2 linked regions of the Caenorhabditis elegans genome follow. The protein of the gene in region 1 purifies or fractionates together with the protein of each later gene. This does not show direct contact. Each region holds a gene or a part of one and is shown in the gene's direction. Other genes may lie near its edges. The genes, in order: Y62H9A.14 and cbs-2.

Region 1 (4,658 bases):
TTAATATTCGCAAAATTATCAAAACATAAATTAGAACTTTCGCAAAATGGTCAAAAAACTACCCATTTCCAGAAGTTCCACGTTTCTCCGATAATCCAGTTTTTGGACATCTGAATCTTCCGGAAGTGACGATCTATGACGCTGGTTAGCAATAGTCTAAAAATTAATATGTTTTAAGATTTTAAGTTTTTCATTCGTTGTCGAATGTTCAAACCACCGAGAGCTACACACTTCCAAGAGAACTTAGAACATGGCCAGGAGGAAGAATTGGATATGGTCTGTGAAGACACCCAATTCTCTTAATTGTACATTCAATTTTCAGCTCTCTCAAAAAATGCTGAAAAGGTTTTGGAACTAGGTTTTCAGGAGTTCGTGCTTCCTAGCTGGATCTTTGACAGCAACCATTCCGACGGTGATACCGACGATGACAAAGTTAGGAAAACAGGGAAAAAGTCAGGAAGATCAAAACAAAAAGCACCAATGGCGCCGCCAATCAAAAAGAAAAAGAAGAACTGTATGTTTTACTCTAACTTCAAATACATTGCCAAGCATTCAATAAACAGAATGCATAAGTTATTGCTTTTCTGACGAGTGTTTTTGCGGTTAAAATATATTTCAATATCAAAACTCGCATGAACGTTAAAACAAATTAAAATTGAATCCAACCCCGTAAACTTCAGAACACTTTTTTTGTTTAATTTTGAAATCTAACATGACGCTGTTACTTTTCTTGGAATCTCCGTTATGTAGATAAATCAAGTTTTGCGTATGTCAGACATACACATGATCAAGAAGAATAATCTTGCACTTTACTTTTTCATGAGACTGAATAATAAATTATAGCTGACGAAACAAAATTTGAAATCCAATTTCAATTATTTGAGCATACAAATACAAATATTAGGCTTCTTGAAATTTGAAGAATTCTATTTTCAGCCAAAAGTGCACGTGATTTGCATAATGGCATTACAAAATATTTTGAAGAGAAGTTTATCGATAGAAAGCTACTACCTAGCAAAAATTGAAATATTTTGCCAATCATCGTGAAAATTATCAACTATCAACTAATTGCAATACATGTCGATTTAATGAATTTTTTATTCTTAATTAAAAGTTTATATCAAGCACACAACAACCCCTTAAATTATAGTTTTTGCTAGTTCACCGAATTTTTGACTATTCATCAAACCCCCTTTTTTTTCTAACTTGGAGTTTTTCCTCCATTTGAGCCATTTCTACTGCTTAAAATTAGAAAATATTTTTGATTCAACCCTATTGTAAAAAGTGTATCAATTTTATATTGGTTTCAGAAATGTATACGAATGCACCTTCATCAATGCGCAACATTCTTCCAATTCATCTTCAACGCATCCATCATTGCAGCAACGTAATTTCTCTACCCGGGCTTTTTCATTATTCGTATCATTTTAAGAATATTTTTTCATATCCGAAATATATTTCCATCATTATATCATTCAGTATGTTCTTTCAATTGGTGTTTTTGACAAAAAATATAATAAATCTGGAATTGTACCTGTTGCAACGAGATAAAAACCAACCGAAGAAAGAATGAGCGCGCAGAGTAGATATTCTCATTCCATGCCACTTCATTCTCTTTTATTTTATCCGCCCTTTCCACGGCTCACAACGCCATTTTTTCTTGTACTCTTTGTTTCTCTTCCTTTCCTATTCAAATCCCCTGTTTTTGGTCAGAAGTGACACTTTCTCATAGATGCAATGCACGCGTGTTTCTTAATGCTAATTGTCTTCAATTCATCAAAAGATGAGAGGAGCCACAGGACGTCACAAGCGAATCGTCATGTCGCACGCTAATAATTAAAATTTAATTCAAGTTTTAGATTATTAATTCATTTTTCATTCTTCTTAGTTTATTAGTTTTCTTTTACTTTTAAGTTCATGCTTTATTCTCGTGAAAAGCTAAGAAAAAAAACAATGATAAATTCTCAATTCTCTCTTTCTTCTAAAAATAATCAGATTTCAAAGAATTTTTTTTGTTCCAGTTTCGATAACTTTTTGTTTGATTCCGTATGTTAAATGCATGTCTTCACTTACTGTCAAATTACGGAAGTAGATTAAACTTTCAGATATCAAATAAATATGGGTGGAGCCGAAGGAGTATTAACTACATTATCTGATTGCACTACGGTCGGGCAATATGATTGGCACCAGATACCGATTTCTTTCGGTGATGGCTCGGAGACTGTAAAATACGGATTTTGGCTTCAAACCGAGCGCGGGTTCATTCCTAATAGTTTCAGTTTTCCTGTAAGTGCATATTTAGTGAAACAGATACAACACACGTTTGGGTTTGAAATTTGGATTTCGATAAACACCCAAAAACTCGAAATTTCTCCGAAAAAATATGTCTACTACAAACATTTGAGTGTGATGTACTAAATCAAAATGATAACAAAATCCTCAGTTTCAAATAAAAAACCATACGCAGCAAACAAAACTATCAATTTTAATCCGGAACTTATTTGGAGACCTAATACATGGAAGAACTTCTAATATGTATTCATCACTTGAAACTTGTAATTGTGATTATAAAGTGTATTAGAACTACATTATTAAGAACAAAGTGGAAATATCACATGATAGAAATGTCAAGCTGAAACAATTGTGCTTAAGTCCATTTTATACTCGGTGATTGCAATTTTTATAGTTTAATATATTATTATTCGAACAAATAAATTAAAGCTTTACATCATTTGTGAAAATTCTTAGATTTTCTTCTTTTTCCAAATTGTAAGATAGAAAATGAAAAATGAAACCGTAATTTTCCTTTTAATCTTTCATTCTAGTGTTATATTTTAACGTTTTATATCTTGGTTATGCTTGGTTTTAACACTAGTTCAAAAACTACGTTAGTTAAGAATTGAAGTATTGTCTGATTTGTATTTAAGCATTGATTATATTCAATTATCGAAATGTCTTCCAGCTTCGTGATTCAGCTTGGAGTGCACTTTCTGCAAAAGCTCTAGAAGAAGACTGGAGTCATCTTTGTGAAATTCCAATAGCAGGGTCTGAAGAGTATGGATTCAAGGAACTGGTCAGAATTTATCCTGAAAAGTTCGATTGGAGCATGATTGGGACATTCTTAACCGAATATTGTAGAGCGTCCATTTGGAGTTTGTATTGCAATCCAAAAACAGGCGCTGAGTTTTCAACTGGACCAGTTTTCAAGGATGTGCACATTGAGGTTACCATGTTTGACAATCTTCTCCCGTTAAACAAGCATCATGCTTCCTCGAAGGAAAACTATGAAAAGAACCCATCGTTATATCAATATGACCTGCTGTCCACAGGACTAGACAAAAAGAACCTTCGCAAACCATGTGACAGCTTTGAAGATCCCACCAATAAATATGCTCAAATATTTCCATCCTTGAGTCTTACCGAGCAAACTAATAACTCAAGCAAGCAGCGGTAAGTCTTACGGAAAATTTTTAGAAGCAGTTCAAAAAAATAGTTGGAACAGGTCTAATGGATCCAACAAAACATGTGAGAGCTATCGAAGTTTATTCCAGCGTAGAATTGATGGATGCAAACCCAGAAGGTGACAACTTTAATTTTTATTCAAATTTCTTAGTATAATTGTTTATAATTGCAGTTTTATTAACAACTATTCAAAAATGAATAATATCTGGAATTCATCAATTGATATTAATTCAACGAAAACGCTTCCTAACACGAAACCGTAAGACACTATCTTAAACGTTTTGAATATATTAACATTTAGATCTCAATATGGTCAAGCCAGTCGTCGCAAGACCATTGTCCCGATGAAAGTTATTCTAGTGGATAGTCGGAAAGAACACTCGGGCTGCAATATCCAATTTGGTGGTTTTCCTACTTCAAGTTCTACTGCATGGCGTGGAAGGTATGAAGATTAGACGTAGATTTTATTTAAGATTTAATATGCTCAGGTACAACGAATTACGGAGAACCACAGCGCCGTAACTTCCATTTAATTCCCATCAATGTATTCTGTTAATAAATAACAACTTTTACCGAAAAAATTATATATTTTCTTTTTGCGAAGATTTTGTCGGCGAGCATAGAAAATGATACCTAGACTGCATTAAACTAAACGAATGTCTAGACAATAAACTGGTTTAATGAAAATGCGGACGTTAAAACAAAACGAAAACATTTTTCAAAACCTAGTTTATGTTTGACTTGTGTATTATATGCCCTCTTCTCAAAAAGTTGTATTAGTTATAAAACATTTAATCGTGTAGAATACTTCTGTATTTTTCAGGTTTTCGAAGGGAGAGTAAGTATTGTCTTAGTATTGCGCCCCTATTAAAATTGCACACAAAAAGATCGATCGAAAAAATAGACTTGCGCTCAATATTATACTTGCAGTCCCTATTACATTTGCGCTGTCTATTAGATTTTTATCCAATTTTCAATTTTTTTTTTCGAAGTCTATTTTCCTAAATTAATATTCTTGACGACGGGGATTTAGAATAATTGAACAACTGAAAATAGATATAAACTTAATTTCAGCATGCCAAAAAATTTTGAAAAAGGCTCTGGTTCAAATTATGTTTTCTTCGACGCGTCTATTGGACATAATCAAAAACGATCGTATTGATCGTTTTCGTTTCATCGTTTTCATAGCGTGGTTC
Region 2 (5,499 bases), on another chromosome or scaffold:
AATTTTCAAAAAATCGCAATTAAAATGTCCTTTTTGTGATACTTTTTGAAAAAATCGATACTTTATTGATTTTTCAACAAAAAAATTGATAAATCATTGATTTTTCGCTATTTTAAACGAAAAATCAATAAATTATCGATTTTTCATTGAAAAATAGCAAAAAATCAATGATTTATCGATTTTTCAATGGAAAATTGTTGAAAAATCGATAAAAATATCGAATTTCAGTCGATTTTTCACAATTTTCCGGTGATTTTTCGCGATTTCCACATTTTTCCGTCAAATTTCCTTTTTTTTTCTAAAAAAAAACGTAGAAAATCTATAAAAATTGATTTTTCAAAAAAAAAAAATTTCTTCGAAAAATGTTAATTTTCAGCCGAATTTTCTCGATTTTCCCCCGAAAAAAAAAAGCTCATTTTTTTGCAGAGCCGCTCGTGGCCAATTTGGTTTGGATCAGGCGTCGGTTTGGGCACCGGATGGTCGAATTGCCGTCACGATTTCGCTTCGCCGTACGTTTTGCACGGAAAACGTGTTCCAGCTGGACAGGATTCGCAAGGAAAACCGGCATACAATATTATCACCGAACAACACAAGCAATAGAGAAAAGAAGAGATAAATTTTCGATTTTTTTGAGATTTTTTTGAATTTCCGCCCGCCACCCCGCTTTTTTTTGTTCTCTCTTGTGTCGAAAAATAGGAAAATGTGTGAATAAACTTATGAAAAAATATCGATTTTTTCGGATTTTCACATGGAAAACGGAACATTTTCAGATTTTCAGATTCAAATTCGAAATCCCCGCAAAATTTTGAGCTGAAAATTTAGGATTTGACTAAGAAAATAGCGAGGAATTCGAATTTCGCATTAAAAATGCACAGAAATTATTCGGAGCTCTCAAAAAATGAGCAAATTTTCAGAAAACGGAACAAAAATTTTGAATTTTGACGGGTTAACCGAAAATTTGAAAATTGCAGTTTTCTATAAGAAAAAAAATCGGGAAATGGATGGAAAAGACAGATTTTTCATTTTTACATCAAAAATTTAAGAAAATTCTGTTTAAAACTGCTAAAAACCGATTTCTTTGCAAAACCCTGTTAAAATATGATTATTTCCAATTTTCGAGCTCAAATTCGAGTTCCCCACAAAATTTCAGGCCAAAACCCGAAAACTAGAGGTTTCTAGTTCAATTTTGAATTTTCCCGGATTACGGTAGCGCCAAAAGTACGCAAACACCGACTACCAGTACTTCTACAGTACCCCTATATTTCTAAACCCCTGCAAATCTTTAAAATACGCCTGAAATCCATGAAAATTATAAAAATTCGGCTGAAAATTGTGAAAATATCCATATCACGTGTAATTTAAATAAAAGAAATCAATGAAAATTTAATTTAATTTTAAATTGATGACGTGTAAATGATCTTTCAAAAAAGAAGAAAATTTCCGTATGACCTCCCGTGTTATTGTTTTCCACATCCTTATCTCGTGAATTTGATCAGTTTGGAAATCAATCAATAATCAGTTTCAACTTTTTGCCCGACTGGAGGATGTGCCTGCCTACCATTAAAGCATTCAAGACAATTCTGGACGCCGGGAGCCACCGAGCAACTCAACTGGTGCCGTTGAAGAAGCTGAAGGCCGAGTTTCAGCTGAAAAGTGATATTTGTGAGTTTCTATGTTTCAGAAAAATCTGAAAATTTCCAATTTTCAGATGTCAAACTCGAATATCTCAACATCTCCGGGTCGCTGGAAGATCGTGCGGCTCACCGAGCATTTGAGGTGAGAAAACGGAGAACAATTGGGAAATGTCAATTCAAAATTCGAATTCCTTGCAAAATTTCAGTCTGGGACTGCAGAAACTAGCTGAAAATCGCTTCATTTTGAAGAATTTCCAGCTTCGACCGCGACGCGGCCGCAACGCGCGGAAAAATTGCCGAATTTCTGGTTTTTAACCGAATCTGGTCGATATGGGGTTTAAAATTTAGCAAATTTTGCGGGAAATTCGAATTTTTTAGTTAAAATTTTCCACATTTCCGGGAATAGTCACAAAATTATAGGTGTCAGTTAAAATTTTTGGTCACAATGGACTAAAAATAATTTTTACCAATTTTCGCTGCTAAATTCGAATTTATCTTAAAATTTCAGTCGGAAAATCGAAAACTAGAGGTTTCTAGCTCAATTTTGAAATTTCTCGGGGTACGGTAGCGCCAAAAGTACGCAAACACCGAATTTCACGCGATTTTCGAGTTTTGAGCTGAAAATTGAGTTTTAGACTCAGAAAATGGCGAGGAATTCGAATTTGATAATAAAAAATCCCAGAAAGTAATCTAAAATCTCAAAAACAAATTTTTTTAATTGATTTTTTCTTTTTCAGATGTCCAACGGAATCCAACGAGGCGACGAGGTCTACGTGACCGCCGGCGGATCATCTGCAGTCTCCTATGCCACCGTGGCAGCCGTCAAGGGGGTCAGACTAACCGCCCACGCACCTCCCGGAGCATTCGACCAGGTCAGGACGATTCTGAGCACTTTGGGAACCAAGATCGTGGAGCTCCCGGTTTCAAACTTCCGAGAAGCTCGGCTCCAGGCTGATCTACTGGCCAAGCGTCGAGGTGTCTACAATCTTGATGGGATCTGCGAGAAAGCCGCGTTTCTGGCGAATCTTGAAGGAACTGCACCGGAGATTGAGAAGGCTGGGAAGACCAGTGCAGTTGTGGTACCCCTGGATGCTGGTGGAGCTTCAGCGGCAGCAGGGATCGCTGCTTACTTCTTAAAGGATCAGAAGACAACAGTGGTCGGAGTGAGATCTTCAGCTTCAGCTTCAGCTTCAGCTCCAGCTCCAGAAACAGAAGTTCTTCTGCAGAAGTACAAGGTGGAAATCCGAGATGCTCCTGAATCCTACACCTTCACCAGACACCTCATCGAGACGGAAGGGATCATGGCTGGACCATCTTCCGGAGCGGCAGTGCTGGAAGCCATCAAACTCGCCAAGGATCTTCCAGCCGGGTCAGTGGTCGTGGTGGTTCTGATGGATGGAATCAGGGACTATCTAGATGCTGATTGGATGAAGGTGAACGGCAAGAAGCCTATCAAGCCTCGTGAGATCTTCGACCCGAAGGTGCTGGACTACGATCCGACGAAGATGGTCGGGGAGTGGAAGAGTTCCAGCAAGTTCAGGTAGGTTATAGGATCTGAGATTTAGCAGAAAATTTGATTTTCAGGCCGGAAAGACCACTGGTTCTCGACTCAGTCCTCGATGCGATCGGCAAGACGCCACTGGTGAAGCTTCAGCACGTTCCGAAGGCTCATGGAGTCAGGTGCAATGTTTGTGAGTTGGGAATTCCTCTGTCCGGTCTAGTCTAGTCTAGTCTAGTCTAGGCTAGTCTAGTCTAGTCTAGTCTAGCCTAGCCTAGTCTAGTCTAGTCTAGTCTAGTCTAGTCTAGTCTAGTCTAGTCTAGTCTAGTCTAGTCTAGTCTGGCCTGGCCTGGTCTGCCAAAAATCCTCATCTTGGACAATTTCAGATGTCAAATGCGAGTTCCTCAACGCGGGCGGCTCCACCAAAGATCGAATCGCTAAGAAAATGGTCGAAATTGCTGAGAAAACCGGCAAACCCGGAGCACTCACCCCCGGAGCCACCACCCTCATCGAGCCCACCTCTGGCAACACCGGGATCGGCCTATCCCTGGTCGCGGCGGTCCGTGGCTACAAATGCCTGATCACGATGCCTGAGAAGATGTCCAAGGAGAAGTCGACGACGCTGTCGGTGCTAGGATCCACGATTGTCCGGACTCCCAACGAGGCGGCCTTCAACAGCCCGAGCTCTCACATCGGAGTGGCTCTTCGCTTGAAGCATGAGATTCCGGGTGCGGTGATTCTCGATCAGTACTGTAATCCGGGGAATCCACTGGCACACTATGAGGAGACTGCGGAGGAGATTTTGTGGGATATGGGGGATCGGAAGATTGATCTAGTGGTGAGTAGGAACTTCGGATCAAGCTTCAACTGTTACTCTTACAGGTCCTTGGCGCAGGAACCGGTGGTACCATCACCGGAATCTCTCGGAAGATCCACGAGCGCCGTCCCAACGCGATCGTCGTCGGCGTTGACCCGAATGGATCAATCCTGACCGGCCCGACGACTGGACCCGCTCCAGATTTCTACGAGGTTGAAGGGATCGGCTACGACTTCATCCCGGGGACCCTGGACGAAAAATCAGTAGATTCCTGGCTAAAATCTGATGATAAGGAGTCATTCCTGATGGCTCGAGAGATCATCAGAACCGAGGGGATCTTGTGTGGAGGATCGTCGGGATGCGCGGTGCATTACGCGTTGGAGCAGTGCCGGAAGCTGGATCTGCCGGAGGATGCGAATGTCGTTGTGCTGCTTCCAGACGGGATTCGGAATTATCTGTGAGTTGTCTGGGCCTGGGGCCTACAAAATTAGGCCCAGCTTGCTTTGAGGTCTATTTGCTGTTTGATCTCTGAAAATTGCGGGAAACCTATAGTTTTTGTCGTTTTTAGAGGTCAAAATACTACTCTGTAGCCCCGAAAGCCAAGCTTAAACATAATTTTTCAGCACCAAATTCCTCGACGACGACTGGATGAAAGCCCGCGGCTTCTTGTAAATTGTGACCTAAAAAAATACTTGAAATTGGAATTATGAACTGAATTTTTGACATGAATGAAGATTTTTCTCTTTTTAACCGAGTGCAATCGCGCTCCATTGATATTTTTCCAGATAATTGGGCTTTTTTCCCGAGTTTTTTGAGATATAACCGATTTTTCATTAAAATCGATGAATTTTAGTGGTTTTTGCATTAAAAATGACCGAAAATGCATTTTTCCAGCAATTCGCCCTGTAAAATTAGTGAAAATATGGATTTTTCGTCATATTCCCTGCAAAATAGACAACAGAAGCCATAATTCAAATAACAGAAGCCATATTCGCCGTCCAGCTCAATCGCGCTCCACCGCACCACACTCAAATCCCCCTGCCACCCCGGCACGCGAAGGGGGCCCGGACAATGAGACACCCTGCACACTTACTCTCGCCGCCTCTCGCTCTCTCCGCTCTCGCATTTTCTATTGATTTTCCTCTTGTTTCCTCGAATTTTTTAGTATTCTAGAGCAGAATTTGGTGTTTTAAATCAATTTTTTTATATTTTAGAGCTCGAAATTATGACTTCTCTCGTGTTTAATGACAAAATGATGGCGGAAGAGGGTATGATGGTTCCACAAGCGGAACAAGTGAGTTTTTTGTGAGAAATGAATTAATATCGAGATTTTCCTGTGAAAAATGCTCAAAATCATAATTTTTAGGAGAAAATTTAAAAGAAAACGTCAAAATAGGAAATATTCTGAGCTTGTTATAGGAAAAAAAACCGTTAAAAAAAATGATTCCACAGAGGTTTTTTTGCTGATTTTTATCGAATTTCGGCCTAAAATTTCACTAAAAATTCATTAAACCCCAAGATTCACTGATAAAATTTTGAAGAAATTGCGA

Evidence for each region.
Region 2: the proteins of Y62H9A.14 (region 1) and cbs-2 fractionate together in Caenorhabditis elegans (co-fractionation; one large-scale study listed by BioGRID). This does not show direct contact.

What each region holds. Positions count from the first base shown.
Region 1 is NC_003284.9:11,919,134-11,923,791, forward strand, and holds Y62H9A.14 (CIA30 domain-containing protein), read left to right. Parts: upstream 1-2,099; 5' UTR 2,100-2,118; coding exon 2,119-2,286; intron 2,287-2,962; coding exon 2,963-3,450; intron 3,451-3,493; coding exon 3,494-3,580; intron 3,581-3,634; coding exon 3,635-3,721; intron 3,722-3,763; coding exon 3,764-3,904; intron 3,905-3,950; coding exon 3,951-3,984; 3' UTR 3,985-4,041; downstream 4,042-4,658. Other genes in the region: Y62H9A.16 (Transposase_23 domain-containing protein), read left to right, coding at 73-144, 187-276, 323-514, 1,311-1,312.
Region 2 is NC_003280.10:2,219,586-2,225,084, reverse strand, and holds cbs-2 (Putative cystathionine beta-synthase cbs-2), read left to right. Parts: upstream 1-1,517; 5' UTR 1,518-1,544; coding exon 1,545-1,662; intron 1,663-1,708; coding exon 1,709-1,776; intron 1,777-2,371; coding exon 2,372-3,174; intron 3,175-3,218; coding exon 3,219-3,325; intron 3,326-3,518; coding exon 3,519-3,970; intron 3,971-4,014; coding exon 4,015-4,406; intron 4,407-4,452; exon of another isoform or gene 4,453-4,572; coding exon 4,573-4,621; 3' UTR 4,622-4,689; downstream 4,690-5,499. Other genes in the region: F54A3.5 (MICOS complex subunit Mic10), read left to right, coding at 427-600; Y59C2A.3 (Trichohyalin), read left to right, coding at 5,175-5,243.